Coturnix japonica: one gene and its partners. The protein of the gene in region 1 purifies or fractionates together with the protein of each later gene. This does not show direct contact. Links are inferred from orthologs where the notes say so. Each region holds a gene or a part of one and is shown in the gene's direction. Other genes may lie near its edges. The genes, in order: EIF3B, EIF4B, EIF3I, EIF5, EIF3D, EIF3L and EIF4E.

Evidence for each region.
Region 2: the proteins of EIF3B (region 1) and EIF4B purify together in Homo sapiens (affinity purification with mass spectrometry; 3 studies listed by BioGRID and IntAct, with this or other methods). This does not show direct contact. The link is inferred for Coturnix japonica from reciprocal best matches to the Homo sapiens genes EIF3B and EIF4B.
Region 3: the proteins of EIF3B (region 1) and EIF3I purify together in Homo sapiens (affinity purification with mass spectrometry; 12 studies listed by BioGRID and IntAct, counting the BioPlex papers as one, with this or other methods). This does not show direct contact. The link is inferred for Coturnix japonica from reciprocal best matches to the Homo sapiens genes EIF3B and EIF3I.
Region 4: the proteins of EIF3B (region 1) and EIF5 fractionate together in Homo sapiens (co-fractionation; 3 studies listed by BioGRID and IntAct, with this or other methods). This does not show direct contact. The link is inferred for Coturnix japonica from reciprocal best matches to the Homo sapiens genes EIF3B and EIF5.
Region 5: the proteins of EIF3B (region 1) and EIF3D purify together in Homo sapiens (affinity purification with mass spectrometry; 10 studies listed by BioGRID and IntAct, with this or other methods). This does not show direct contact. The link is inferred for Coturnix japonica from reciprocal best matches to the Homo sapiens genes EIF3B and EIF3D.
Region 6: the proteins of EIF3B (region 1) and EIF3L purify together in Homo sapiens (affinity purification with mass spectrometry; 8 studies listed by BioGRID and IntAct, counting the BioPlex papers as one, with this or other methods). This does not show direct contact. The link is inferred for Coturnix japonica from reciprocal best matches to the Homo sapiens genes EIF3B and EIF3L.
Region 7: the proteins of EIF3B (region 1) and EIF4E purify together in Homo sapiens (affinity purification with western blotting; 5 studies listed by BioGRID and IntAct, with this or other methods). This does not show direct contact. The link is inferred for Coturnix japonica from reciprocal best matches to the Homo sapiens genes EIF3B and EIF4E.

What each region holds. Positions count from the first base shown.
Region 1 is NC_029529.1:3,185,178-3,189,529, forward strand, and holds the start of EIF3B (eukaryotic translation initiation factor 3 subunit B), read left to right. Parts: upstream 1-1,212; 5' UTR 1,213-1,511; coding exon 1,512-1,947; intron 1,948-4,352.
Region 2 is NC_029544.1:1,104,026-1,108,726, reverse strand, and holds the start of EIF4B (eukaryotic translation initiation factor 4B), read left to right. Parts: upstream 1-1,762; 5' UTR 1,763-1,848; coding exon 1,849-1,861; intron 1,862-3,828; coding exon 3,829-3,972; intron 3,973-4,380; coding exon 4,381-4,589; intron 4,590-4,701. Other genes in the region: KRT18 (keratin, type I cytoskeletal 18), read left to right, coding at 18-241, 916-1,030. UniProt on the Homo sapiens protein: Required for the binding of mRNA to ribosomes. Functions in close association with EIF4-F and EIF4-A. Binds near the 5'-terminal cap of mRNA in presence of EIF-4F and ATP.
Region 3 is NC_029538.1:4,527,553-4,532,076, reverse strand, and holds the start of EIF3I (eukaryotic translation initiation factor 3 subunit I), read left to right. Parts: upstream 1-1,422; 5' UTR 1,423-1,450; coding exon of another isoform or gene 1,451-1,463; 5' UTR 1,464-1,537; coding exon 1,538-1,540; exon of another isoform or gene 1,541-1,544; intron 1,545-1,703; coding exon 1,704-1,796; intron 1,797-1,922; coding exon 1,923-2,010; intron 2,011-2,262; coding exon 2,263-2,328; intron 2,329-2,637; coding exon 2,638-2,787; intron 2,788-2,891; coding exon 2,892-3,019; intron 3,020-3,297; coding exon 3,298-3,408; intron 3,409-3,685; coding exon 3,686-3,775; intron 3,776-4,030; coding exon 4,031-4,104; intron 4,105-4,262; coding exon 4,263-4,355; intron 4,356-4,524. Other genes in the region: TMEM234 (transmembrane protein 234), read right to left, coding at 431-523, 810-876, 1,161-1,312, 1,451-1,463. UniProt on the Homo sapiens protein: Component of the eukaryotic translation initiation factor 3 (eIF-3) complex, which is required for several steps in the initiation of protein synthesis.
Region 4 is NC_029520.1:45,678,034-45,682,460, forward strand, and holds the start of EIF5 (eukaryotic translation initiation factor 5), read left to right. Parts: upstream 1-1,229; 5' UTR 1,230-1,356; intron 1,357-1,534; 5' UTR 1,535-1,728; intron 1,729-3,614; 5' UTR 3,615-3,822; coding exon 3,823-3,894; intron 3,895-4,153; coding exon 4,154-4,235; intron 4,236-4,427.
Region 5 is NC_029516.1:47,227,767-47,230,775, forward strand, and holds part of EIF3D (eukaryotic translation initiation factor 3 subunit D), read left to right. Parts: intron 1-116; coding exon 117-232; intron 233-430; coding exon 431-563; intron 564-1,144; coding exon 1,145-1,292; intron 1,293-1,553; coding exon 1,554-1,684; intron 1,685-2,171; coding exon 2,172-2,257; intron 2,258-2,434; coding exon 2,435-2,564; intron 2,565-3,009. UniProt on the Homo sapiens protein: mRNA cap-binding component of the eukaryotic translation initiation factor 3 (eIF-3) complex, a complex required for several steps in the initiation of protein synthesis of a specialized repertoire of mRNAs.
Region 6 is NC_029516.1:46,623,860-46,627,520, reverse strand, and holds the end of EIF3L (eukaryotic translation initiation factor 3 subunit L), read left to right. Parts: intron 1-620; coding exon 621-1,118; intron 1,119-1,857; coding exon 1,858-1,938; intron 1,939-2,700; coding exon 2,701-2,739; 3' UTR 2,740-2,959; downstream 2,960-3,661. UniProt on the Homo sapiens protein: Component of the eukaryotic translation initiation factor 3 (eIF-3) complex, which is required for several steps in the initiation of protein synthesis.
Region 7 is NC_029519.1:53,872,356-53,876,276, reverse strand, and holds part of EIF4E (eukaryotic translation initiation factor 4E), read left to right. Parts: intron 1-369; coding exon 370-483; intron 484-2,178; coding exon 2,179-2,318; intron 2,319-3,346; coding exon 3,347-3,461; 3' UTR 3,462-3,921. UniProt on the Homo sapiens protein: Acts in the cytoplasm to initiate and regulate protein synthesis and is required in the nucleus for export of a subset of mRNAs from the nucleus to the cytoplasm which promotes processes such as RNA capping, processing and splicing.

The sequences.
Region 1 (4,352 bases):
GAGGGATAGGGATGGATGGGATGGAGGAGGAGGAGGAGGAGAGAGGGGAGAGGAGGACGGAGGAGGAGGGAGGAGGAAAGGGACGGGAGGGGAAGGTAGGAAGAGGGGAATGGAGGGGAAGATGGAGAAAGGAAGAAGAAGAAGAAAGGAAGGAAGGAAGGAAGGAAGGAAGGAAGGAAGGAAGGAAGGAAGGAAGGAAGGAAGGAAGGAAGGATTAAAATGTGCTGTAAAGTAAGAGAAAGTTCAAACAGATGACAGGGAAGAAAGACCCAGCATTCAAATTTGCTGATAGCTTGTAAACAGAAAGAAAGGTCATATAGAAATCTGTCTATCCCAGCAATGCAGGCAACTGTGAGGAGCTGCAAAAGCCGAGTCACAAAAGGACAAGCCGTATAATGGTGAGGATGCAGCTGGTGCTGTGGGTTGCAGCACAGCATGTCCTCCTATCTGGATAAAAAACGTGCTAGTAAGCAGGACAGGCAGCAGCTCTTCCTTTACTTCCTACTTGCTGCTGAAACCCAGCAAGTCACAGCCCGGCCCAGTGCTGTCACACAGCGGGGCCAGTCATCATTTCCATTCATAAACGCGGCTTCAAGAGGGATCCGACGCTCACAGCGCTCGGATGGAGCTCGGGTGGCACCTTGTGGCTGCCCGATAAATCACAAAACGAGCTTTTCCGAGCGGCTTCTGATTAAATCCTCAATAACTGCTTTTTCCCTCCAAAGCCATCGCTTAAACCTGACGGCATCAAAGAAAAGCCCTGTGTTCTCTGTTTGTGGATGTATCACCGCACACACTCGGACGTATCTTTGCATCGGGATCAAAGTGTCCTTGGTTTAATGGTTTAATGGACACAGAGCTCAGCTCACTGAGCCGGCGATGTGTTGGCAGGGCCGGGCCGGGCCCAGCATCACCGCCCCTCCATCACGAGCTGTGGTAGCGCCCGCCATCGCCCCGCCGCCTTTGGACGGGCCCACAGCGGTAGATCCGCGGGGGGGAAGGCGACAAGATTCGCTGTTTCCTCCTGCCCGGTGCAGGACGTTTGATGGCCTGAAGTGCCGGCACCGCACGGAGGGTTCGGTCGCCGCCCGCCCGGTTGAGCACAGAGACACGATCCGCTTTTGGCCTCCCGAGAAATGGTTCGGTCCAACCCCACCTCAGCGGACGGGCAGGAGCCGCCATGTTGGGCTGAACCATAAAGCAGTGCAGCAGGGGGAGCCGCAGCCGCGAGGGCTCGGAAAGGACGGACGGCGCTGCTGGCCGAGCAGGAGGGGTGAGCGGTGAAGGAGGCGGCGATCGCTCTGGGGAAGAGCAGGGAGAAAGAAGCGGCGGGTGGAAGCTCCATCGGGCAGCGCTGCTCTAACCCGGCCCCCCCCTCCCGTTGGTAGCGGCGGCTCGCGGGGCCTGGCGCACATGGCCCGGCGGTAGGAGCCTCCCCACCCCTCCCCCGCTCCTTTTCCCGTCGCTCTCGAGCTGGGAACGCGCGGCCGGTGGGGCCTCGTACCGACCCCATGCAGGGCACCGAGGACAGCCCCGCGCCGCCCGGCGCACAGGACCCGGCCGAGGAACCCGAGCGGGCCGACGGAGCGCCGACAGAGCCGCCGCCTCAGCAGCAACTGAAGGAGGAGGAGGAAGGGGAGAAAGAAGGGCCGGAGGAACAGGGCGGCTCTGAGGGGCCCCCTGAGCCGCCACCCGCCGCCTCGGAGCCCCCCGCCGAGCCCCAGCCGCTTCAGCCGCCCTCCCCTCAGTCGGCGTCCGGCCGGGAGAGCCCCTCGCAGGCCGGGCCCGAGGCCGAGCCGCCGTCGGAGGAGGCCAAGAGCGAGTCCCAGGCCGAGGCCGAGCCGCCAACCGAGCCCTGCGAGGACGGGGAGGCCGCGCCCGCCGAGCCCGAGGACGAGCTTTCGTTCAGCGATCCCGAGGGATTCGTGGACGACATCAGCGACGAAGGTTTGTGCGGGGCCGGCTCGGGGCGGGCTGGGCTGGGCCGGGGCGCTGCGGGAACGTGGGGAGGCCTCGGCGTGTCCGTGCGGTTGGTGCCGTCAGCGCTGCCCTCCTGAAACGGGGCGATGAGCTGCGGGTGTGGAGCAGCTCGGGGTCTGTGAGGAAAAGCTGGATACTGAGTGTCATACAATGACCCAGCCGTCGTTTGGCCCCATAAGGCGTTATGGCAGCAGCTGTCTTTGGTGCTTCAGTATTTCTACTGTTTCGGACAACTCTTTCAAGATAAACCGTGTCAATTCTTGAACAGCAAATCCATTTGTCTGTTGTGCCAGTTCTTACTCTGACGTAAATGCTGCTGTAGGTTCTGTAATGGTTACACGTATCAGAGCTGGAAAAATGCCTCTTAAAGCATGTACTGCTTCCTGAGTCAGCAGGTGGTTTGAATTGGTGGCGGAATACAAGTGGTAATTGTGCTTTCTTGTGTTCCATTCCTATGTTTAGCTTAATAAATAAGTGGAGAAGTATTTTGAATTAAGAAAGTGTGTTATTCTTAGTAGTGTATATGGCACTTTGAGCACGTGTATCTTAGAGACACTACCAAAAGTGTCTGCAGGTTTATCACTGGATTCTTGTCTAGTGAAGTGTTTGCTTTGGATGCTTTCTCTACATCGGGGATTATCACATTCATGTCAGTGTTTAGATAGAACCCAGAACATTTCCTGTCTTTTTTTCTGTTCTGTTCTTTAGGATTAATTTGGTTGACTCTTCATCTGTATGAATAATACAATGTTAGTGGCTGAATTACAGCGTTTAACTTTAGTCACTCCTGCTGGTCTGGTTTTCTATCTGCCTGTTCTACTTCTTGAGCTGCCTTATTCCTTTTCCTTTACCCTGATAACTCCACAGGACAATCAATTCCAGGCCATCAGCATCACTGATTCAAGGTTATTTCCATATTCCCACATTTATGATAAGAGTTACGTGTTCAGGAACAATTCTGAACCAGTCTGGCTTTAAGATTGGATCATCTCAGGTGTTAGTTTGACTTATGTTGGTTTTTTTTTCCCAGAATGGTGTTGGCACAGCAGAACAGCTGTTCCACCTTCCATAGAAGGAATGTGTCAGATCATCGCCCAGGTGCCATGAAGCTTTAGTTCAGATAATGAGAGAGGTCCTTAAAATTCTGCCAGCTGAAGATAGCCGTGCACCCACCACACCCCTCTTTTCTGGCCTGTGGGAATAGAGCTGGCTGAACCAGCCGCTGCCCTTTGAAGGTTTCTTTGTTGGTAGTTTTGCATTTAAGGTAGAGGAGATACACAGTGTAGGTATGTGTTTAACCTGTTAGAGTTCTGATTTAGGATAGAATGTCCTCTACTTCCATGTTAAGCTAAATAAGCATTCCTTTCTTTTATAGCCTTTTGTGGGAACTGGCTATGAAAAAGAGACTCTCAGAGCTTCAGGATTATCGTTCTCTTTTTCCCATAAGATTTTGTGGAAATAACCTGGTTCCTTAGAGGACATGTTTCCATATTACATGCAAGAAGAACTAAAGATATAAAGATTCTATAATTAAAAAATATTATTTTTCTATAATATCAGGTTTTGAAATTCCTTTTTTCAGTCCTTAGAGTTTTTGTAGATGCTTCCCTGCCCATCTGTTAGCTCTCAGGCCAGAGGTTACCTGTCAATGGCTTCAGTGTATGTGTGTTGTTAGCTAGCTGGGTAATGGCAAGATATCCTAATATACTCTAAGGTGTTGTATGTGCTTAGAAGTTAACTTATTTGCAGCTTCTTATTTCCTTTCTTCTGAGTCTTTGGCTCATACTGGGTGAACTTTCATCTTTGTAGAAAGAAGTTGAGGGGAAAGCAACCCAAATGTGTTTAAATTCTATGTTACCCGCGGGGTTAAGTTTGTGGATACAAAATAATTAAATGGAATTGTCTTGAGATACAGCTTAGAGTAAGGTATGCAGAAAATTCCACAGGTAAACTGTGTCTAGAAGCCTGCTGCTGTTTTTGTTGCTCCTAATTTTGTGTGTGACATAGGGCTGTACTGTGTGCCTTTCAACTGCTGTAATCTTGGTGTGATAGGAAAACCACAACTGCTGGGTTACAGTCATTCTTAATGTTCTCCCTTCTTTTCCTGTATGATTTCAATTATGCTGCAAGATTTTGGCAGTTTTACTCTGGTGAAAAGTTTGCAGCTGACAACACAGGGACTGAACAAACCGTCCCACCAGCAAGTACTGAATGAACGTGTAGAATGGTAGGCAAGGGGAATTAGTATGGTTGAAGAACATACAGAGTACAGAAGATGTTCTTGTATTCATTAGCTGCTTGCTTAATGTGGTTCGTAGTGCCCTTACTTAAGACGCCTTAATTTTCTCGTTTAATTAAAGGTTTTGAATGAG
Region 2 (4,701 bases), on another chromosome or scaffold:
TTGGGGTCACGCTGCAGAACGCGGGGCTGGAGGGCAGCCTGGCAGAGACGGAGGCGAGATATGGGGCACAGCTGGAACAGCTGCAGGGCCTGATCCTGCGCGGGGAGGAGGAGCTGGCACAGGCAAGGGCAGAACTGCAACGTCAGAACCGGGAGCACCTCGCGCTGCAGGACGCCAAGAGCAAATTGGAGGCTGAGATTGCCACGTACCGTGCACTGCTGGAGGGAGGAGAGGGGTTCAGGTGGGACATTGGGGGGGTGACACCGAAGGGGGACCACTGTGGGACTGTGGGGCATCTGGGTGGGATCTCTGTGGCCCTATAGGGATGGACAGGGGACAGTGAGGGGACAATGGTGGCATCCATCAGAGTTGAGCCCCAGGGCTGGGAAGTCCATATTCTAATCTCTGTCACCCTATAGGAACAGACAAGGGACAGTGATGGCACACAGTGGGGTGAACCCCTTTGTAGTCCTTTAGGGACAGAGAGGGGACAGTGGTGGCATTCGGTGGGGTGAGACCAAGTGTTGGGATGTGCAGGTCCCATCCTTTGGGATGTTTGGGGACAGCAAAGGGGCAGTGCTGGCATTCAATGAGATGAGCCCCAGTGTTGGGATATGCAGGACCATGGCTTACAGGGACAGCAAAGGGACAGCAGTGGCACCCCATAGGGATCCTATAGGGACAGCAGTGACACCCAGTGGGGACAGGGATAGTGGTGGCACCCAAGTGGCCAAGCATCCCAACCCTGATGTCCCCTCCAAGTTCCTTGGGGTTACAGCGGGGTAGGGTAGCGTGGGGCTGAGTGACACAGGGGTGGGTGACACGGGTGGGTAACAGGGTGGACATAGGGTGAGTAACATAAAGGTGGGTGACATAAAGGGGTGTGTGACCATGGGGACACCCGCTGCTCCACAGCCTGCAGGATGCTCTGGGGTCGGAGGGGACAGTGACCACGCAGCGCAGCACCCAGAGGACGGTGGATGGCAAAGTGGTGTCCGAGAGCAAAGAAGTCAAAGTGCGCAGCTACTGAATGGGGACGGCGTGGTGCCCCCTCCTGCCTTACAAATAAAGGAGCAAAGTGAAAGAGATGGGGCTCAGTGTGTGTGAATGGGAAACTGAGGCACAGGGGTGGGAGAGGGAGGGAGAGAGAGATGGTGGAACAGAAGTGGGGATGGATGGAGAGGGGGATGGATGGAGGGAGGGATGGAGGGAGGGATGGATGGATGGATGGATGGATGGATGGATGGATGGATGGATGGATGGATGGATGGAGGGAGGGATGGATGGAGGGAGGGATGGAGGGATGGAGGGAGGGAGATTGAGAGGAAAGAATGGAGGGATGGCAAGAGGGAGGGAGAGGTGGATGGAGGGATGGAGGAAAGGAGAAAAGGAGGGAGGGTGAGGTGGGGAGAGAGGGAAGAAGGGAGGAATGGTGAGAGGGAGGGAGAGATGGAAGGAGGGAGAAGGGAGAGATGGAGAGGGAAAGAAGGGGGAAGGGATGGAGGGGGGTGAGAAGGATGGAGGGAGGGAAGGAGAGAGGAAAGGAGGGAAGAATGGAGGGAAGGAGGAATAGAGAGAGAAGGGAGGGAATGAGGAGGAGGAGGGAGAGGGAGGGATAGATGGAGGGAGAGAAGGAGGAAGAAATGGAGGGATGGAAGGAGAGAGGGAAGAAGGAGGGATGGATGGAGGGGGAGCGCTCATCCCGGTGCCCCCCCCACGTGCGCGCTCCCGCGGCAATGCGCGCTCCCGTGTGCGTCTCCCCCCCGCCCTGCCGGAAGTGGGCGTCGCTCCGGAGATCACGTGACGGCTCCATCCGGGCCTTTCGCCCTCTCTCTGCCTCTTGCCAAGATGGCGGCCTCAGGTGAGCGCCGCGCGGTGGCTCCGGCCCCACATCGCCCCTCGCCCACCCCACACCCACCCCAGAGCGACCCTTCCCCACTCCGCGACCCCACCTCTGCCTCGAGCCTGGGTCTGCCGGGCAGTTGGCTGCGTTACGGGGGCGGCAATGCGGCTCTGCGGGGCCTTCACGGCCGGGAGCGGCCTTCGGGCCTTGCCCCCCCCACACCCCACATAGACACACAGCGCCCATTGGGGGGGGGGGCAGGGCAGGGCGTGGGACTGCGCATGCGCGGAGCTGGGCGGAGGGGGGGGTCCACGTGTGGGGTTGGGAGCGTGGAACGGGAACACGGAGCGATGCGGTGTGTTATATGTGTGTAATGGGCGGGGAGAGCTGGGCAATGCCGGCCCCATGCTGGGGCTGGGCCCTGTCCAGCTCCATATCATCACGTTTGTGCAGTGCTGGGACCTGTGCAGTGCTGTGGTGCTGGCTATGTGTGATATGCAGTGACATCTGGGCACTGCTGGCATCGTGCAGTGCTCCAGCACCACCCTGTGCAGTGCTGGGACCCGTACAGCTCAATATCGTCATGTTTGCGCAGTGCTGGGCCCTGTGCAGTGCATGGTGCAGTGCTGAATGTGTGTGATATGCAGTGACATCTGTGCAATGCTGGCCCCATGCAGTGCTCCAGCACCACCCCGTGCAGTGATGGAAGCTGTGCAGCTCAATATCATCATGTTTGTGTGTGATATGCAGTGACATCTGGGCACTGCTGGCATCATGCAGTGCTCCAGCACCACCCCGTGCAGTGCTGGGCCCTGTGCAGTGCAGCTGCAGTGCTGAATGTGTGTGATATGCAGTGACATCTGGACAATGCTGGCCCCATGCAGTGCTCCAGCACCACCCCATGCACTGCTGGGAGCTGTGCAGCTCGATATCATCATGTTTGTGCAGTGCTGGGCCCTGTGCAATGCATGGTGCAGCGCTGCAGTGCTGGATATGTGTGATATGCAGTGACATCTGTGCAATGCTGGCCTCATGCAGTGCTCCAGCACCACCCCATGCAGTGCTGGGCCCTGTGCAGTGCATGGTGCAGTGCTGGACGTGTGATATGCACTGACATCTGGGCATCATGCAGTGCACCATCATCATGTTTGTGCAGGGCTTGGCTCTGTGCAATGCACGGTGGCAGTGCTGTGGTGCTGGTTGTGTGCAATGCACAGTGATATCTATGCAATGCTGGCCCCATGCAGTGCTCCAGCAGCACCCCGTGCACTGCTAGGACTCATACAGTGCACCATCATTGCATGAGTGTGCTGCTGGGCTCCGTGCAGTGCTTGGAGGCAGTGCTGTCATGCTGGCCCTGTGCAGTCACATCAATGTTCTGGTTTGGAGAAGCTCTGTGAGATTTTGGGGAGCTCTTCATGTTTTTGGACGTCTCCATGTGCTTTTGCTGACCCCCGTGTTGGTTTTGGGGAGCTTTGCATCAGTTTTGGTGATCCCTTTGTGTTTTTGGGGAGTTAAGTGAGATTTTGGGGTGCTCAACATGTTTTTGGGTATCTTCATGTGCTTTTGGCAATCTCTATGCCAATTTTGGTTGCCTCTGTGCTGATATTGAGGAGCTCTGTGCCAGGTTTAACAACCCCTGTGCCACTTTTGGCCACTCCTCTGCTGATTTCAGTGGCCCCTGTGCCAGTTCTAAGGAGCTCTGTGTGATTTTGGTGCCCCCTGTGCCAGTTTTACTGACCTCTATGCCAGTACTGGTGACCCCTGTGCCAATTCTGATGAGCTCTACGCCACATTTGGTGCCACCTGTGCCACTTTGGCAGAGCTCCTCACTGATTCAAGGCAGCTTTGTGAATGCAGGGAGCTCCGCATGCTCCCCTTGACCCCCACCCTCCTCCCCACATCCCATTGCCACCAATGGGAGGGGGGTCATGGGGTGCAGACAGAGCCATGGTGCCGATCTCGCCGCCCCCCCCACCCCGCAGCAGCCAAGAAGAAGAACAAGAAGGGGAAGACCCTGACCCTGACCGACTTCCTGGCTGAGGATGGCGGCAGCGGTGCACCCACCTACATCCCCAAGCCGGTCAGCTGGGCTGATGAGACCGATGACCTGGACGGCGACGGTAGGGGTGAGAGCGAGCCTAGGGCAGATACCGTCTGTTTTTGGGGGGCTACCATCCATGTTGAGGGGTCACAGTCTGCATGAGTTGGCCACCATCTATGTGGGGTGGCCACTGTGTATAACACATGACCACCATCTAGATGATGTGGCCACCACCTCTAGCCCACGGCCACCACCTCTTTGCTCTGGCCAAGCAGCCCATGGCCACCACCTCCACATTGTGCCCACCCTCTTTAGCCCATGGCCACCACCCCCATGTTTTGGCCACCCTCCCCTGCAGCTCTTGGCCACCTCCTGCAACACATGACCACCACCTCCACGCAGTAGCCACCCCCTGCATCCCATGGCCACCTCTTTTAACCCACCACCTCCACGCCATGCCCACCTCCTTCAGCCCACCCATTCTCTCCCACAGTCTCCACTGCGTGGCACAGCAATGATGATGATGTGTACCGGGCACCGCTGATCGACCGCTCGCTGCTGCCCACCGCCCCCCGCGCCGCACGCGAGCCCAACATTGACCGCAGCCGCCTGCCCAAGTGCCCGCCCTACACGGCCTTCCTGGGCAACCTGCCCTACGATGTCACTGAGGAATCCATCAAGGACTTCTTCCGGGGCCTCAATGTGAGTTGCATGGGGGGCACAGCACAGTGGGGTCCTTGAAGATCATAGAATCATGGGATGGTTGGGATGGAAACATCCTGAGAGATTATCAAACCATAGGATGATTGAGTTG
Region 3 (4,524 bases), on another chromosome or scaffold:
GTTCTGTGTTGGGAACATACACAGCTCAACACAGTCAGCCCCCATCATTGCTGAATATGTGATTCAGTCAGGAAAAAAGATGGCCTAAATGGATGTGAGCCAAACTGGTACTTATTGCTACTATTCAGTTTTCAAGTTTCCTGTTATTTCCCAACTTCTTAAGCAGGATAATGTTAGTGTATGGACATTTCTCTTATGGTTAAATACATCATTAGGTGAAGGCTCAGGCCTACAAGTTCTGCTAGCTTAAAACAGCCAGTTCCAGCCAATTTAAATTCACTAGCTCTACCCCCTTACAAGTCAGTTTCACTTCCTTTTCAGCTTCCTTGCACAAACTACTGCCTAAGCAGTTACCAGAAGGGAGCACACAACATTAAAACAACAAATAGATGCAGAATACAACGTGCCAAATGTTTTAAGCGTAACTTACTTTTACCACCAATATCCTCTCCCAAAATCCTTCCAGTCACCAGCGTGACTATCAGAGCCAGGGAGTTACAGAGCGGCACTGCCAGGGACAGCTCTGAAATTGAACAATTGTAACACGGTTTGAAATGGATGCGTCCTTCATTCAAAGACATCTACTTGAATCCCCCTGTGGCACAAGTGGTAGAAGTGCCGCTCTGCTACACAGGAGGCTCGAATCCCGGGGGTTGGACTCGATGATCTCTAAGGTCCCTTCCAACCCACACCAGACTGTGATACTATGATGATGATACTTGATGTTCAGCCAGATCACCAAATGAATCAGTAATACAGCTCCTCCCCAAACCCTGATCAACCCACTGGACAAAGCAGTGAGAGCTGACCTGCAGATGCCAAGGTGAGGTAGAAGAGGAGCGATCCACATTGGTTCAGCAGGAATGGCACCATGTACTGCGGAAAGAAGACAGGTCACTGCATGGAAAAGCATTGCAATGCCTGCAGCAAGCAGTGCAAGCCTTGGATGCCATGTCTGCAGAAGGCAGGCAGGTCTGAATGTGAAATATGAGGGTTAATTTCTACAAGTGTCTAAGTTCTCCATAAGAAGAGCAGGACTGCAGGTGGGTAGATGAAATGTTATAGAGTACAAATCATTTTGCTGATAGATGGGAGGTGCTGAGTGCAGGAAGGAGCATGAAGGCCCGTCCCATACACCCCATGATTCCGGCTGTGCTCACCTTGTAGTTGCAGCCCAGGAACCTGATCTCGGCCAGCAGCTGCCGTAGGAGCCCCCGGCGCTGCACGTCCAACAGCCCCGCCGCTCCCGTCCGTAGGAACGGCCCGGTGCTGCCCCATAGAACCGACACCAGCACCAGCACGGCGGCCTGCCCTGCAGCACAACATCAGCTCAGCCCCGGGGCTGTTGGCCCGGCCGCCATCAGCCCGCAGCCCCCTCACACAGCCCACCCCGTCCCCTCAGCCCCTCCGGGATCCACCCGAGGCCCGTCCCCCAAACCCGGAAGCTCACCGGCGGCCGCCATAGCGCCCCGTGACCCGGACGTGATACTCCACGCCTCTTCTCTCTCGCTCCGGTTCCGGCAGCGCCGTGTCCGCCATGGTGAGTCGGGTTGTGGGCCGGGCCGGGCTGATGCGGGTCCCGGCTGGGTCCTGGGGTCGGCGGGGCTCCTGGGCTGATGGTGGTGGCAGCCTGAGCCCCAGCCGGGGCCTCGGCCTCGCTTGGCATAGCGTTAAATGGCGCCTTCCCTCATTGCCGCGTGCAGAAGCCGATCCTGCTGCAGGGCCACGAGCGATCCATCACACAGATCAAGTACAACCGAGAGGGAGACCTGCTGTTCACTGTGGCCAAGGATCCCGTGAGTGAACCGGGGGCACCGGGAAACCGGGCTGTGTGCGATGGGGGGGGAGGGATAAAGGTGGGTAATTAACGAGCTCAGGTAATTGGTCAGAGCGGCTCTTCAAGCCTTTTTATCTTCTTTTAGATCGTCAACGTTTGGTACTCGGTGAATGGAGAACGGCTGGGCACCTACAATGGGCACACAGGAGCCGTGTGGTGTGTGGATGCTGACTGTATCCTTTGGGTGCACAACCAGTTTGTGCTCTCGTTCCTTGCAGTGATTCAGCACGGATGGCTCCATTCAGCTGCTGTGTTTAATTGTCCCTTGTGCCATCTCTTGGTTATTTGTGCTCCTTGGGAAGTTTCCCAAGTCCTGTAATTTCTCAATGTAACGCAGCTTCTTAATCTTGTGTGTAAATACTCCCTGGGTATCTAATGATTTTTGGGGCTGCAAACGTGCTGATATCCCTTAACTGCTGACCAAGGGGACACCCGACATGTGCTCACTGGCTCTGCAGATAACAGCTGTCGGCTCTGGGACTGTGAAACAGGTAAAGGCTCTTCTCTCCCACGTGGCTGGATCTGACTCAGCTCTGTCCTGTTCTGGGATCTGTGCAACATGTGCCTGTTTGCCCCTGAAAGAGCCCAAGTCCTTTCTTGGCTGTTTGTGTATTTGCCTTATTTTCAATGGGCACTTATTCATTTTGCTCACCAAGCACATTTAGTGCTTTCCAGTCACCCAACCTGTCTGTCAGCTCTGATGCTCCTGTTCTTTCTATGACTGCACTTCTGTTTGATTGCTTTCATTAATGTTTGCAATGCAAGACCAAGTGAAGTGATGGTTTCTGCTCCGTGTTCAGGAAAGCAGCTCGCTCTGGTGAAGACCAGCTCGGCAGTGAGGACGTGTGGCTTTGACTTTGGAGGAAACATCATCATGTTTTCCACGGACAAGCAGATGGGTTATCAGTGTTTTGTGAGCTTCTTTGACCTGCGTGACCCCAGCCAAATCGGTGAGGAATCCGGGCCTGTGCCTGCAACTGGGAATAAGGGGAAGCGTTGGCTGCCAAGAGCTGGTGCCACTCAGTCTGTGTGTCTCCATCCTTCCTTCCTGCAGAGAACAACGAGCCTTACATGAAAATCCCCTGCAGCGACTCTAAAATCACTAGTGCTGTGTGGGGCCCTTTGGGAGAATTCATCATCGCAGGACACGAGAGTGGGGAGCTGAACCAGTTCAGTGCCAAGGTCAGTGTGATAAGGAGGAGCATCACCCTCAGGCAGCAACTCTTGGGAGAGGATGTTGCAACGTTCCTGTTGTGATCATGTGGCAGAATGTGGGTTTTTTTGGCTCAAACCAGTGGCCTTGAGGAAGGATAGTTAAAGTATGTGGCTTTCTTCAGCAAAGCTGAACATATATATGCCTACCTTTCTGCTGACAGCAACATCTAAAGTCGGTTTTAGCAGAGAAGTTGTTTGTACACTTTCCTTGCCAGTTCACTTAAACTGCCTCGTTTACCCTTCAGTCAGGGGAGCAGCTTTCAAACATCAAGGAGCACACCAAGCAAATCAATGATATTCAGACCTCCAGGGACATGACCATGTTCATCACTGCCTCCAAGGATAACACTGCCAAGGTGAGGCCTCCTGGGGGGACTGCGGTGCATTGCTGACATCCGCTTGCAGGACCCCTGCTCAAAGTCATGGCTGCCTCAGTGGTTTTCTCTTTGGGAATTTGAGCAGGTGTAGAGCCAAAGCTTAGTGGGAGGGCTGATATTTGGGATTCTGGAGCAATAGCTTTGACATTTGGATGCCCAGGAGTGACTTTAGAAGTAACACCTGCTCATGTGAGGACTGGCAGCTGGGGTTTGCATGAGATACTTGGACTGCCACTCTCTTCCTTTTGCATTTTAGCTATTTGACTGCACAACGCTGGAACATCTGAAGACATTCCGGACAGAGCGACCGGTGAACTCTGCTGCACTCTCCCCCATTTTTGATCACGTAAGCATGAGCCCACGCATACTAACGGTCTTAGTGCAGCTCCTGCATTGTCTCAGGCAGCTGGAAGGCACAGTGTCACCAGTTCAGCCTGAGCTAAAGAATCACTGTGGGACAGGGCCAGGGGACTTGACTGCTGTCATGGGCTGTGCTGGGTTAGTGGGAGGCTTCCCCAAGGCTGGGCTCCCTCCTACCCTGGCTGTTGTTCCACATATGGTGTAAGCAGCACTGCAGTGTTGTGACTTTCTTCCTATGCAGGTTGTGCTCGGTGGTGGGCAGGAGGCCATGGATGTGACCACGACCTCCACCAGGATTGGCAAATTTGAGGCAAGGTTGGTGCTCTTCTCTGGCAGGGCTGAGTCTGCACTTGGAGTTCTCTCCTGCTCCCAGAGCGTCTTGCTATTGGCAGCATTTGGAGAGTTACTAGAATTGCAGAGCTTCTCTGAGGAAACCCTGATGACATCCCTAACCTGCCTCTTTCTTCTCCCAGATTCTTCCACTTGGCTTTTGAAGAAGAGTTTGGCAGAGTGAAGGGTCATTTTGGTCCGATAAATAGTGTTGCTTTTCACCCTGATGGGAAGAGGTGAGAATCTCTGGGGGTCTCCAGCACGTCCCCACCAAACGTGGTCTGTTCTGATTAGGATATGGCTGGATTCACTCTGAACTGCAGTGGGGATGGAGCCTGCTCCTTCCTGAATTCTGCCATTCCACCCCTTTTGCCCCCCATCACACTGGATGTGGGGAGTCACTGA
Region 4 (4,427 bases), on another chromosome or scaffold:
TACTAATCATAACTGCTCAGTTATTCATGGTGTCAAGCAGCACCAGTTCCAGGGGCTCGTTTCCCTTCTGCTGTTCAATAAAGTGGTGTTGGCAGCAATATGCTTTAACACTTGCAATTTATTAACCTCAGAGGTGTAGTAGCATGTCAGTAAAGCCACAGAAAGGAGGCATTTAGTAAGTTATGCACGCTGCATATTTTTACAGCTAAGGAGTTCCTGCTGTGCTTTTCTTGCCTCCCACATCTTTATGATGATTTTTTCCCCTCGTGATAACTGCCAAACCTCATATCCTTGGGAGAGTTATTCCCTTGTTTCGCACTAACCCTCTTTCTCATGTTTAAAGAGGCGCTGCTGTGTGTTTCTCAAGGAAGCATTTAAAATAACCTGTTACATTTTTCAGTAGCTCCAAGTCCAAACCAGGCTTACAAAGTGTTTTACAGGACATCATCCTGCCTACAAGGATGTGCTATCGCATGGGCTGAAAGGAAACCTATAAGTAGGGCAGCAGTGATGATGCAGATGATGTAGGAGGGTCTTGTAGGAAGATGGTGAAGAATATCACAGAATCACAGAATTATCAAGTTTGGAAAAGAAGATCATCTAGTCCAACCATCACCAATACTTCCAGGCTAAATCATATTCCTCAGCTGTATATCTGCTGTAAGACACAGCCATAGGAACTGGGGCCTTGTGGCGCTGCCTGGCAGTCCTTAAAGCACTAAGAGCTGATGGAGGGTTGGTTGTGAAGGACACTTAGTAGGTGATGGGGCAGGGCTGATTTAGATGATCTTAGTGGCCTTTTCCAACCTTAATGATTGAGTTTTCAGAAGCTTTTTGCCCCTTGAATGTTTGGAACCATCCAAAATACGTAATTCTCATTGTATGGGAAGGCAGAAGACTGGAAAATAATAAAGGGGAAGGCCCCAAAAGCTCATAGCTTCGAGGTATACACAAGGCCAGGTAGGGTCCCAGCAGAGGGGCTGAGGGCAGGGTTGGCCCCTCAGCAGCAGGAGAGCGAAGCGGCCACCCCCCTCAGCCCCGACCCCCCGCCCTGACTGAGCCCCGCGCCCGCCGCTCCCCGCAGCGCCATCCCGCGCAGTCTCGCGAGACCCGGCCGCTGTAGACGCGATGTCCTTTGGGGCACTGGGGGGGTGGGGGGGGGAGGGAAGCGAGACGAGGGGTGGATTGATCGATAGCGGCTTTGACCAATAAAAGAGAGGAACGGAGGGCCCTGAGCCAATAGATTCATCCCAGGGCGAGCGGCGAGCCAATGGAAAGACTGGGGAGGCGGGGCGTGCCGCTGGCTGATTGATCCCAGCTTTGGCGTTGTTCAGTCAGAGCGAGAACATTCTAGAGGTGAGTACGGGGCGGCCATTGCTGGGGTCCCATCAACCGCCCCCTTCTGCCCGAGCTGCGCGCCCGCCGCCGCAGCTCCCTCCCCCCCCTTCCCTCTTCTCCCCCTTCCTCCTCCTCCTCCTCCCTTTCCTCTCAGGATCCGGCGCTGACGATGCCCCTGGTTGTGTCTCCTCCTCAGATTGTCCGGCATTGCTGTCCCTGCTCATAAAGCCCGTCACAGGACGCCCGGACACGGAGGCTGCGGCGTCCGCCTCCGCCTCCTCCCCCCGGCCGGATTATAAGCGCCGCACGGCCTCGTTCTCATCGCACACTCGGCTTCATCGCAGCCCAGGGCGAGCAGCGTTGGGTTTATGTCTTTATTGGACGAAAACGGTGAGTGTGGGGGTGGAGGTGGAGCGGGTGGTTGGGCCTTGGGAAGGGGCGAGCGGGCTGGGCTGGGCTGGGGCGGCCGTTGGTGGACGGGCGGCTGTGAGGAGCCGTACCAGGGACCCGCCAGGAAGGAGAAGGAGATAAGAGTTGACACATTAACCTCTTACCATCGTTGGTTTGATGTTCCCGGTGGCTGTTTAGCGTTATTTTTTATTTTTCACTCGATATTTCCCCCCCCCCCCTGCGCCATGCGACGAGACAAGATGGCGGCGGCCGGGCCGCGCCTCCCCGCGCTGTGGGCGGTTGTGGGGGTTGGAGCTGTGGCGCAGATACAGGCTGAGGGGGGAGGGGGACAATGATCCACAGCGGGGGGGAATGGGGGGAAATGGGGGGAGAAGAGCAACAGGAGCATCCCCCCCCCCCCCACTTTAGAGCTGGGGAACGCATGCGCAGTTGGAGGTTCCCCCCGGTCTATTCCGGGGCTGAGTCAGTGCTTAATTGCTGCATTTATGACTCATCACGGGCCCGATTGGGGCGGGGAGTGTTGCTGAGCGCTCTGCCCTCCCTCTTCTTTTTTTTTTTCCCCCACTCTGTGTGCGGCATATTGGGGGGGGGGAGGGTTGCTTGCTTGGGAGGAGGAGTCCCAGGGAGCAGGGGAGGGAGCTGCAGCCCGCAGATAGAAGCCGTGAGCTGGAAGGAGGGGAAGCGACACGTTAGCTCTGCGAGCTCACAGAGGTACTGCTTCCTCATACTGCTTCCTCAGCGCTTCTCAGGCACATGGTCGGGTCACATGGGGGCTCTTTTTTAGCCACTCTGAGGAAGGACGGCTTGTGCTGAAGAAGGGTAAAGCTGTGTTGGGACTAATACATAATACATAGTGTACACATAATCTGTTTGCTCCTCGTGGAAGGATTTGTAAACCTGAACAGAGCACAGAATGGCACTCTTACACAGGAACATGGAGGAGTCTGTTTTAATGTGTCAACACTCGTGTGTCATTAACGATAACACGGTGACGTGTCAAAGTGAGCACGCTGCAGGCTGGGCTGCCAGCCTAGTCAACCAGTTGTGGCTTACGTAACCTTAGATCTGATTACAGGGGCGCATGTTTATTTAAATATGTAAATACTGCTTAAGGCAACTTTAATAACAGGATTCATCCTCCTTCCCCCGAGAAAAAAAATGAACTGGAGAAGCTGTTGCACTGCTCTGTACCTCTCTGCGCTGCTAGGCTTTCTATAGTGAAGCAGTTTATGTCAGGATTTATCAGGCTTATTATTAAGTCAAAACTCCACAGAAGCTGCTATGAGAACCTGTAAGTGAGAGGGAGTATCACCTAATTTTCCTCTCCGAGCCAGAAAACTGGTAAGCCACGTAATAGTACTATTGGACTGTGGATTGCTGCTGCTTCAACTTAGGGATATTTCTCAGCTTTCTGACAATCCGCAGTTTATTTAATAGGTTCATGTGATGATGCAGAAATTGAGTCTGGTGTTCTTCTCCCACTTCCCTTTCCACTTTAGCGTGGACCGTACCACATGACCTTAGTGTAAGAGCCCTTGGACTTCATTAATCGGCCAGTGTTCCTTTTCTTACTGATCACAGCTGTCTTGCGAGTTAATTGTACAGAAAATACTGTTCATTTACCCATTGTTTTTTAGGGAGTAAGGTAGAAGAGAACTTAAAGTTCTGTAGTGTAGGTGAGGAAAAGCTATTCAGCAGTGCAGTTCAGGGCTATTGTCTTCAGCTTCACAGGCTGAAGAATGGTATATAATAATGAACTTAGTTTCCCTACCCATAAATATAGTTCCTTGTATAGCTGCATTGCAAGATTTTATTGGTGTATGTTACAATGAACTTATTGCTTTTCTGTCTGTTGATGTTTGCAGAGCTGTTGCGCAGCCACTGGTACCTGTATTGGGGAAACATAGCATACAAGCAAGAACCTTACAGCCTCAGTGGCGAAAATTTTTTCATGTCAGAGACCGAGAACTCTTGCAGTCGTTTATGTCATCCCGTCTTCTCCAGACAGAAGATACCAAAAAACTGCAATCAAAGATCTCTTCATCTTATTGATAAAGCTACTAATAAGGCAAAATGTCTGTCAACGTCAACCGCAGTGTTTCAGATCAGTTCTATCGCTACAAAATGCCCCGTCTGATTGCCAAGGTAACTTAATAGCTATTAGTGATAAGTAGATAGGGTTTCACATTGGTTGCTTTCTATATAAAGGAATGGAGGTAATGATATCAACCCCAGCCAATCATAGGGAGCAGATGTCTGCATCTTTCTGTCTGAACTAATTGTACATTAATGCCTCTGAAGTAGAACATTCAAAACAGAACTTAAGTGTAGTCAGATGGGAAATACATGCTGGGTTGGGCTGCTGTGGTCTTTCTAACTTAAGACTTGGTTTTGTTTTTTAAAGGTTGAGGGCAAAGGAAATGGAATAAAGACGGTTATAGTCAACATGGTTGACGTTGCAAAGGCGCTTAATCGGCCTCCAACGTGTAAGTACTCTGTGCAGTGTGGTTTTAACTTCATTTAATGCTTTCACTTTCATTTGAAGTGCAAGTATTTTTTTTTCAAGTTTTGTTAGGAAAAAAAATAAGGGGGAAATAGGAGACAGCAGCAGTGGCATATTTACTTGATATTTATTTTCAATTAACAAAGAAAACTTAAAGGCATTGGTGGTTATTTTA
Region 5 (3,009 bases), on another chromosome or scaffold:
ACCCTGGTGATGGCTTAGTTTGTCTGTATGTGCTGATGTCTGTATGTCCTCGTGCACAAATCCTGATGTGCTATGTGTGTTTTCTCCCTTTACCCTTTTCACCTCTGGCCGCGCAGCAGAAGCCTCGTGATTCCTCTGTGGAAGTTCGCAGTGACTGGGAGGTGAAAGAAGAGATGGATTTCCCTCGACTGATGAAGATGCGCTACCTGGAAGTGTCAGAACCACAGGACATGTAAGTTCCTAAAACAGTTTCCTGAATAGACAGCACAGGATAGCAGGAAAGCAAGGGGTCTCTTGGCTTGGTCCCAGTGTCCCCAGTGAAGTAAGCAAAGCCAGGAGTGGTAGAACACCCAACCATTCCCTTAGTCCTTTGTGGTTTGTCAGTGGAGGTGTTTATGTGACCAAGATGATCTGTCCTTTCTCTCTGTAGAGAGTGCTGTGGAGCTCTAGAATACTATGATAAAGCCTTTGACCGCATTACAACAAGGAATGAGAAGCTGCTGAGGAGCATTAAGCGCATCTTCCATACAGTCACTACTACTGATGACCCAGTTATCCGAAAGGTATGTTCACTGGTTTCCCAAATCCAAGAGCGTGCTTTTCATTGCATGCTGTGCTTTGAGAACTGTCACAGTCAGACCAAAGACAAACAGGAAAAATCTACATCTCTCAGCTTACAAAGGGGAAACTATTACCTTGTTATTTTCCTTGGACCTAAGGTAAGCTGGGACAGGGTAAAACTGGGAGTACTGAGCAATGAAAGGCAAACAAACGAGTACTTGGACAGTGCTGGAAAAGGAACTTCAGTGTTGGAAAGCTGCTTCTAGAGTTTTCTGCTTTTGTAGATGAGGAAGGCTCAGGGACTGCTCCTTATGACTCTGTCAGTAAGGAACCAAGTCCTTTCACAGTAGATTTCCATTTTGTAGTAGATTTCTTTTTGCTTGTCTGAGAGCAAGGGTGAGCCTGGATTACTAGGTAGTACTCCACACTTGGCATAGCTGTCAACGGTGTACCCAGCAGTCTGTCTTTCTCAGTATGGAAGAAGAAATTCACAATCTGGTTTGCTAGCACTTCTGATCTTGGCTGGGAAAGGAAAGGTATGTCTGTAAGTGCTGCTGAAATATGGTGTTTTCTGTATCCGTAGCTGGCCAAGACTCAAGGGAATGTGTTTGCCACAGATGCTATCCTGGCCACACTGATGAGTTGCACTCGCTCTGTGTATTCCTGGGACATCATTGTCCAGAGAGTTGGATCCAAGCTTTTCTTTGACAAGAGGGACAATTCAGACTTTGGTGAGAAAAACTCTTGAATTAAAATTTGTCTCATTTTTCTTTATGCTTCTCTGGTGGTGGTTGTTTGTTGTTGTTTTTTTAATGTATTCTGTGTCTCAGTGCCAAGACCGAGACACCTGGAGCAAACTGATGGCTGCAATATGTTGCTAACTGTGAGAGTACTTTCAATGCTGATCTGCCTCAGCATGTGTGGTAGAGATTCACTGAAGCCGATACAGATTCTCCTCAAGTGTAACAGCATGTGACTGGTTTTGTTCTCAGATCTACTGACAGTGAGTGAAACAGCTAATGAACCACCACAGGAAGAGGGCAACTCCTTTAATTCTCCACGCAACCTTGCCATGGAAGCAACTTACATCAACCATAACTTCTCCCAGCAGTGTCTGAGGATGGTAAGGCCGAGTAGTCCTGGGCAGTAAGGTCTGAATTTTGGAGAGTCTGGAAATGAGACTTTATTCAGACTTGCTTAATGCTGCTGCTCAGCACAAAAGTGTTTAAATTGGTAAAAGTAGTTTGCACTGATGTTACCTCAGCTTGAAACAGGTGGGATTCCTTATGTTGAGCAAAGTGACTCTTATAAAATGATTTTCACCTTTATTTTACAAAGAGGAAATCCCACTCCTGTTGGTAAAGTGGGCAGGCTTCTGATTACATTTATTAAAGCTGGTGTGCTAAGAGGAGTAATGATCACAGGGAAGTGGTTACCATGGAAAGGAGAATTTGCATCTGTTGTCTTAAATCTTTTAGTGTCTTCTCTGTGTAAGGGAAGTCAGCTGTTGTTGCTGTAAGAGAATATTCACCCAAGAGGAGAGCTCTAAGTTTTGTTTTGTTCTTTTGCTTGTTTGTTTTACTAATAAGCCTTTCTGTTTCCTTACACAGGGAAAGGAGAAATACAAGTTTCCCAACCCAAACCCCTTTGTGGAGGATGACATGGATAAGAACGAAGTAGCTTCTGTTGCCTACAGGTATGTTGATGCATCTCTTATTCCAAGCTTTGACAAGGGTGCAGGATATCAGCGTGGTTTGCAGGGTAAAACAATCCAAACCAGTGAACAGATAAAGGGTGAAAGGATTTTGCTGAGTACTTGGAAAGATCTGGCAAAGAACCAGGATCAACAATGACCTGGACTGTGTGTGTGCAGGTACCGAAGGTGGAAGCTGGGAGATGACATAGATCTCATTGTCCGCTGCGAGCATGATGGAGTGATGACAGGGGCTAACGGCGAAGTGTCATTCATCAACATCAAAACTCTGAACGAATGGGATTCCAGGGTGAGGAAGAACAAGATCCCAAAGCTAGCTCTAACTGCTTCACTGCTGCCTGACATGCCAGGTATAGCAGGCAAGATGAGACAAACATCTAGTGGTGTCCCCTGAGTTATTACCTTCTGTCAAAGATGCAGAGCTTTGGTGGACTAGCAGTGCTATTAAGCCTTACCCAGGCATGAGGTAGTTGGTTTGAACCCTGTTCTTGTTCCCAGGTGCTCTGTGCAGTAGCTGATCTTTATCTGTGCTGCCCTCATTAACCGTCCCTAGCAGACTTCCTCTCCTAGCCATTGCTACTGCATTTCTCCCTTTCCAGTGCAGGGGCTCTCTCTGCAAGTACAGGTTTGCATTCCATAGTTACGGTATCATAGTTTAGATAGAAGAAGCTTCCCCATGCAATTGCTGAAGAGATAATTGTTGCTGGCTTGTTAGGTTCACCCTGTTTTTGATT
Region 6 (3,661 bases), on another chromosome or scaffold:
GAAATGATACTCTGGCCAAAGATTCTTACATCTCAGTCGCATTCCTATCTCAGCGTACTTCCATTATCAGATATATTTCCATTGTCATGCAGTCATTCACAGATTATTTAAACTTATTATGGGTAAAACAAAGCTCACGTCTCTTTTTAGTTAAGCTGTCTCTGGTGTTTATTGTTTTGCTTTGTTTACCCTCTGCTGCTGCTGTCTCCTTGTCATCCTTATGATTCATTTCTAATTCCCTCGCATAACCAAATCATTCCGTGACACTTCAATAATGTAGTGTTTAAGGTTTAGCTACACAGCTTTTGAAGACTGAACTCGTATGAATCTTCCTTTTCATTTTTTTTCTGCACTGGCCTCTTACTGATCTGTTTCAACAGTGTGTCTTAAACTGTGTTCCTTCCCTATGCCTGCTCCTCCGCACTTTCTTGCACCAAAGCAATCAAACCTGTTTCTGGCTATCCAGATTCTGTCTGTTTCTTTGCGCTGTCCCCCCTTGAGCATCAGGACCTTCAGTTGTCAGGATGAAGGAAGGGTCCATCTCTGAAAAATGCAGCTTTCTCTCGCACTGTAAGTCCTGAGCACATTGCTAAACTAACAGGCTGTCCTCTCTGTCCCAGATTAACAAGCAGAACGAGCAGATGCACGCCCTCCTTGCCATCGCCCTCACCATGTACCCTATGCGCATTGATGAGAGCATCCACCTGCAGCTGCGAGAGAAATACGGGGATAAGATGCTGCGCATGCAGAAGGGTGATGCTCAGGTCTATGAGGAGCTCTTCAGTTATGCTTGCCCCAAGTTCCTCTCCCCTGTGGTGCCCAACTATGACAACGTGCACCCCAACTATCACAAGGAGCCTTTCCTGCAACAGCTCAAAGTCTTTGCTGATGAGGTTCAGCAGCAGGCTCAGCTCTCCACCATCCGTAGCTTCCTGAAGCTCTATACCACGATGCCCGTGGCCAAGCTTGCTGGCTTCTTGGACCTTACAGAGCAGGAGTTTCGCATCCAGCTGCTTGTCTTCAAGCACAAGATGAAGAACCTGGTATGGACCAGCGGCATATCTGCCCTGGATGGAGAGTTCCAGTCTGCCTCTGAAGTTGACTTCTATATTGACAAGGTTGGTATCTGTTCCTTGCTAACAAGGAAATTCCTTCACCCCAGAAATTCTGGAAGAAGCAGCACCAGCTTATAATTGAATCTGTGGGAAACATTACTGTGCCATGTGAAGGACTTCTCTGCCTACAATGAAGCTGTAGCCCTGATTAATAGAAGTGCCAGTGGATGAGCAGTGGTGCAGGTATGATCATGTCACCAACCTGCCCTTGGAGCTCAACACAGTGAGAAGTATCTTCTGAGAATTCATTTGTCAAAGAAACCAGTGGTAGCTATTAGGTTTTTGCTGCCTGTCAAATAAGAGAAACAGATTGCTCCTTGTTGCAGAGCTGTACCTGCAAGGTCTCATTTGTGCTTTGTTTTCCTTGTGTACCTGAACCAAACTGACTTTGCACTGCAGCCTAGCACTCCTAGTAGTTTGCACCACTCTTAGCTGCTGGTAGAGGGAAGCAGAGCATGAATTAGGATTGGGACTGTCAAACTGTTGCACAGAGAGCTGGAATAGGTAGAGTGAAAGAATGTGGGAAATAAATACAGTGTGAGTTTGGGATCTGTCTCAGGTAAACAAAAGGCATCCCACAGAAAACTGAATACTTGCTGTAGGTCTAGTGCAGGTCAGGCGTGTGTGCAGTGCTGAACTAGGGCTGGAGTGAAGCCCCTTTTGTTGCTCCTCCTGTTTGGCAGTGCTTGCTGTCCCCTGGTAGCACAGTCCTTTTCCTGACCTCATGCTCTTCCTTCCCCAGGACATGATCCACATTGCAGACACAAAGGTTGCTCGACGCTATGGGGACTTCTTCATCCGCCAGATCCACAAGTTTGAAGAGGTGAGGCCTGGGCAGAACAGCTGTATAGTTCTGTAGGAAAAGTGGGAAAGACTTTGAGCCACGCATGGCTGGGAGAAAACATGCCTGTGTGTGACAGCTGTACTATGCCTTGCTGGGACAAAGTGCCTCAGCTTTGCATGGCACTGGGTAAGGGCAGGTGGTCTGAGCAGCAGCTGCTCACTTATGAGGAATGTTGGTTTTTTTTTTGTGTGCGTGTCAGAAGTGTTCATCCAGTTGAAACTCATTGTAAAGGAGGAGGAGGGTTTTACTTTCTGAAGTTGCTGACTCCCTTGTCGCTAGATAATTGCGGCAGTTCTCAGTAGTGCAATGAAAGCGTGTCTATATCCCCATAACCAAGGGCCTAGAAAGCAGCCTTAGATTTCTGGAGCATGGATGATTATTGCATTCAGCCAGGAGGTGACATGCTGCCAATGCTCTGCTCTCCCAGCAGGTGCTTCTGTGGGTTGGAAGCCTTGGCAGCAAAATCCTGAATCAAGGGGATGGCTGAAGGTTTCTCTATTAGTGTACCGTCGTTAGAACATTGCAACTTCTCCCTAATTCCTCTGCTGTCCTTTTGGAGGGGAGGAGGGAATTTGGCTAATTCCCCTTGTGATTCACATGCTGCCTGCTCCAGCATGAGAGCATTTTTGTCAATGGGTTGCTGAGAAAGGAGAAGAGATGCTGGATTAGGGCTGCTGAAGGGAACAGTAGTGTGTGCCAATCAGTGTGTTTTCTGACTGTTTTGCTTTCTTCTAATTCCAGCTGAATCGAACCTTGAAGAAGATGGGCCAGAGACCCTAAAAATTCCGTGGATGCAGCAATCAGCCTGAGCAGAGGAATGGGTGGGGGGAGATTATTCTCCTTACTGTGAGGGAGGGAGGCTCAGGGTTCTGGCATTTCTGGAATCTCCTGTGGCTCAAAAGGTTTTTGTACTTTAAATAAGATGACTCATTCGGCTCAAACCATTCTGCGAAGAACAAGACATCTAATAAAAGAGTGGAATTTTCCTGGTGAGCATTTAGATACTGATACGCTTTTTCCTCTCCCCCCCCCCCCTACTTTGTATGAGAACATAATTGCATCACAAAATACAGGCAGCTGCTGTTGGCTTGTGCTGTCTTCGGCTAAAGCTGTTGCAGGTAGATGGAGACTAGTCCTACATACTGGATGCAGCAAACAGGGAAGGCTGTGGGACTGGTTAACAGAGAAAATGAGCTGTTCCACAGCATATAGTAACAGCTGCCAGGTATTCCTTCTAGCTGTTGTTCCACATTGAGTAAACCTGAGCGGTAGTTGCCTTTCTAGAAGGTTGCATCTCTGATTTCTCCCCCTTCTTTTTACTTTCTTTTTAGCTGTTGAGAAATAGAAATGTTTCCAAATGAATCAAGGTGTTTTTAAAGGAAGGGGGAGGTTATTTTTTAAGCACTCAGCTAACATTAACTTGGATCATCTGATAAGGTGCCCTTACTGGGGGCTGCTTTATTTCAGCACAAGTTTTGCCCAAGTCCTGGCCCATAATGTAATGGGGTTGTTTCTCTGGAAAAATCCCTGAGGGTATTTGAGTTGTTAAAAGCTTGTAAATATCGTGAACCTCAGTGCTAGTTCTCACAGCTCTCTGGCCACCTTGGATTCTTCCAGGCAAATCTGCAGGACCTTGGAAGAGAAAGAAAGGTTGAAACTTGTCCTATAAATGGGAATCAAGGACATTTTGGGGAAGAGAAAA
Region 7 (3,921 bases), on another chromosome or scaffold:
AAATAAAGACTCCAGAATGCGGCTGCTAATTTTATCGGGTTTCAGAGAGGGCAAGGTGGATGATTGACTTTGCAATATATTTCATGCTCTACTGTGTAGCTAAAGCTTCAGCTTGGGCTGACAATCTTTCGTGGAAACGACAGCTTAAAAAAAACACTAGGAAAGGTGTGGTTTTTAAGCAGTTGTGGAACTTTACTGTTGGTCCAGAGGTATTACTAGAAAGAAAATACTTTCTAGTATTTTCATACTAGACAAGTATGTATCTCAAACTATACTTATTGGTGCTGTTTCAGTTATTGTTGGTCCTTTGGTTATACCCAAGGAAAAGTATAAGTGAAGTCTGATTTAACTTCTGACTGTTCTTTCCAGGATGGGATTGAACCTATGTGGGAAGATGAAAAAAACAAGCGAGGAGGCCGATGGCTAATTACACTAACCAAACAGCAGAGACGAAGTGACCTTGATCGCTTCTGGCTAGAGACAGTAAGTAATGTGGCCTTAAAAGTTGCAGCTGAAGAAACTTGCATTTAGCATTTTAACTGCTCTGTTATTCCTGTGTGCCAGTTTGGACTTACAGTTTCATGCCGACATATTATTCCTACAATTTATTGACAGGCTGCATTTGAAACACGATCTTTCAAAATGGTGGTTGATGTAGTTGCGTGCTATTATGTTCTTAGAGAATTTTCCTGATCTCTGTTTGTTATTTATATACCTTTTCCCAGAGAATGTTCTCAGCATATTTGCACAACTATCAGAGTAATACTTGGTCTCTAAGTTTATTTTAACTGCTTACAGGTAATTATTTGTTCACAAATTCTCTTACAGGTGAATAGTTGCGAGGTTTTGATCTTGCTGAAGCAAGTTTCAGAATTGTCTTTTCTTCTTTCTATGCTTGTCCTAATGTAGGAGTGAGGAAGGAATAGCAAAATCTTCTTGTATACCATGAAAAATGCTTTTTTCCCATTGCTGTTACCTAAACATTAAGTGTACTTTTAGAGATACTGTGGGTTGCAGTAGATATATTGTAGAAAAAATACATATTGTACTGCCTAGGAACCAATTAAGTATTCTAAAAGATACAATCTGTGTTTTTTAGGGACAGCTATTATATGCAATATAATGCAAAGCAATTTCTTCAAAACTAAACTAATCGAAGTAGCTTTTCTTTGCTTTTTTGAGAAGAAATTATTCCTCATAAAAGAGAAGAGTGACCTTTGGAATCAAGGTTAGGGTGTCCAAAATACAAAAGCATTTAAGTTGATACTGGTCACTGTAACTGTGATTTGAGGAAAGGAAGATTAGACATTATAATAGTGGGCAAAATATGGTTTTACGTGAGTAGACGAAACTCTTGATGTGCACATTTGACCATTCAATTTAAACATATGTGAATGTCCTTCTGACTCCTGATAGCCATTTCATGTGGATTGGAAATGCGTAGTCCATGTAGTTTATGATTCTATGAAAACTCTGATTTTGTTAATGATAATGACCAGTATGTTTAAAATGTAATGTGCTAGTGAAGTCAAAGAAATGACCATTTAGAGAGGAGTACTTCAGTGTGGAGAACAATAACTACAAGAACTTATCAGTTTTGAATATTTAAATTTGTGTTGCGCAAGTTGAAAGTTGAAGACTTGAAGCATCACTTTCAGATAGTGACATAACTCCTTAGAAACTTCACATCACATTATCATTTTTGCCACTTCCAAACTTTGCCGTTAGAAATCTGGCAAGGCAATCCTGTATTATTTGAACTGATGCATTTCAGAATCGAAGTCAGATCTTAGACAGATGATGCATTGCTCAAATAGTTTTTCCCCAGGTTCTTTCCAGTTTATGAATGTAGACTAAAGTTTTCCATTTGTCTATGTACTTCATAAAGACTAATGAGTTCCTTTAATTGTTGCACCTATTTGGATTGAGGACTGAGAGGGAGACATAAGTGATCATCTGTCAAAGCAGAAGAGAAACTTGAGGAAGATGCTACTGCCAACTAAGCTTAGGATCACTTGTAACATTTGGAACTTTGATAAGACACAACAGAATACTGTTGCTGTATGGCTAGTGGCTATGAGACATAACATTCCTCAAAGTTCTTCATGCACTTAGTGTTCTGTGGAGCAGGATTCTGCCTTGGAGCTGCTACTTTAATTTTTAATGTTTATTTTGTAGCTGCTGTGCCTTATTGGGGAGTCATTTGATGACTACAGCGATGATGTATGTGGTGCTGTTGTTAATGTTAGAACTAAAGGTGATAAAATAGCAATATGGACAACTGAATGTGAAAACAGGGATGCTGTTACGCATATAGGGTAAGTAATGTGATTTGTTTCTCAAACAAATGTGAAGTGTAACAATGCATTTAAAGCTACTTAATTTAAAAACTGAGCTTTTGGCAAATGTAACCTGAGCAGAGCTGTATCCCAAGTTCAAGTTACTCACAATGAAGTTGTTTGCTTTACTGTTTAGTTTTTGAGGGCTTGCATCAGCAAATTCATTGATCTGTACTCTATTTGCTATAGCATAGAAATAATCAAGAGTTCAACACAGATCTTGGCAGGAGCTTTTAGTTTCATAATGAGGTATTGTAAGTAGTTTCTGTAAGTGGTGTAAATTCTGTTGCAGCATGCCAGTTTGTAAGGCTGGCTGGTTACTGACAATAGAGAGCATTGGTAAGCTTGGTCTTGGGGAAAAGGATGCTTAGGAATGGGAGATGAAGCTCACCAGCATGTTCTTGTATTTGATTAGAGCTGGTTTTCATTTTGTCTATTTACACACAAACCAAATTCTGGATTTCATGGATCTGACACATAAAATGGTGTGTCCTGGTCTTTGTTTTGGTAAAAGACAATGGCTATCTTTGTTAAGGAGAATACATTTAGTCTGCTATTTAACACGTATTGCTAAAACCTGTGGATTCTTTTTGCTGTGATAATAATGTTTCAAAGTTACCTAATGTTTCATTCAGTCACTGAAGGCCTCTTGAATATTTACAGTACTTTACACAGGTTGTTTCCAGTTCAGCAAATCAGTCTTAAGCCAAAATTCAACTGTCAGGCATAGTGACTTTCAGGATAGCTCTTAGCATGTGCTTCACTTGGACTTCTGAATCTGGTGAGGTCATACTTACAGTGTCTAATTACAGTATGATCTTGTTGAGACCTGAAAGATGACTAACAACAAACAACCAACTGTGGTACACATCTGCTGATGGAAAATATCTGCTAGGTTTGATGTAAGGTTGAGTGCAGTTTAATATGTTGTTAGCAGCTAAGATGCCTCCATTAAAGATCGTTTGGAAGAGCATTGTTTAAGTTATTCTTCTGTTTCTCTTCTCCAGGAGAGTATACAAGGAAAGATTAGGACTTCCTCCAAAGATAGTGATTGGTTATCAGTCCCATGCAGACACAGCTACTAAGAGCGGCTCCACCACTAAAAATAGGTTTGTTGTTTAAGAAGACACCTTCTGAGTATTCTTTCATAGGAGACTGCGTCAAGCAATCGAGATTTGGGAGCTGAACCAAAGCCTCTTCAAAAGCAGAGTGGACTACATTTAAATTTGATTTCCATCTAAATGTTGCTAAGATTTGTGAGAAGTCTAATTCGCCTTTGTCTTGTACTTCTGTGTTCATTTTTTTTTCTATTTTGGCTGAAGTAACCATTACCGATCAGAATTTTAGTACAACCCCCCCACCCCCCCCCAAACCCCAAGTCATAAATGTTTTCCTGGCCCACTCTGTAATAGCTTGGTAGAAACATTACTATTACAAAAAAACATTTGTTGATCCACAGTATTCAGAAAAGTTGCATTTCTGTACCTGCAGGAAATTACTCTGTTTTACATTTGCATTGTATGCAGTAACATTTTGCTGGTTTGGAAAAGAGTATGGTGCATACAGTTTTCTAGCAATTTTT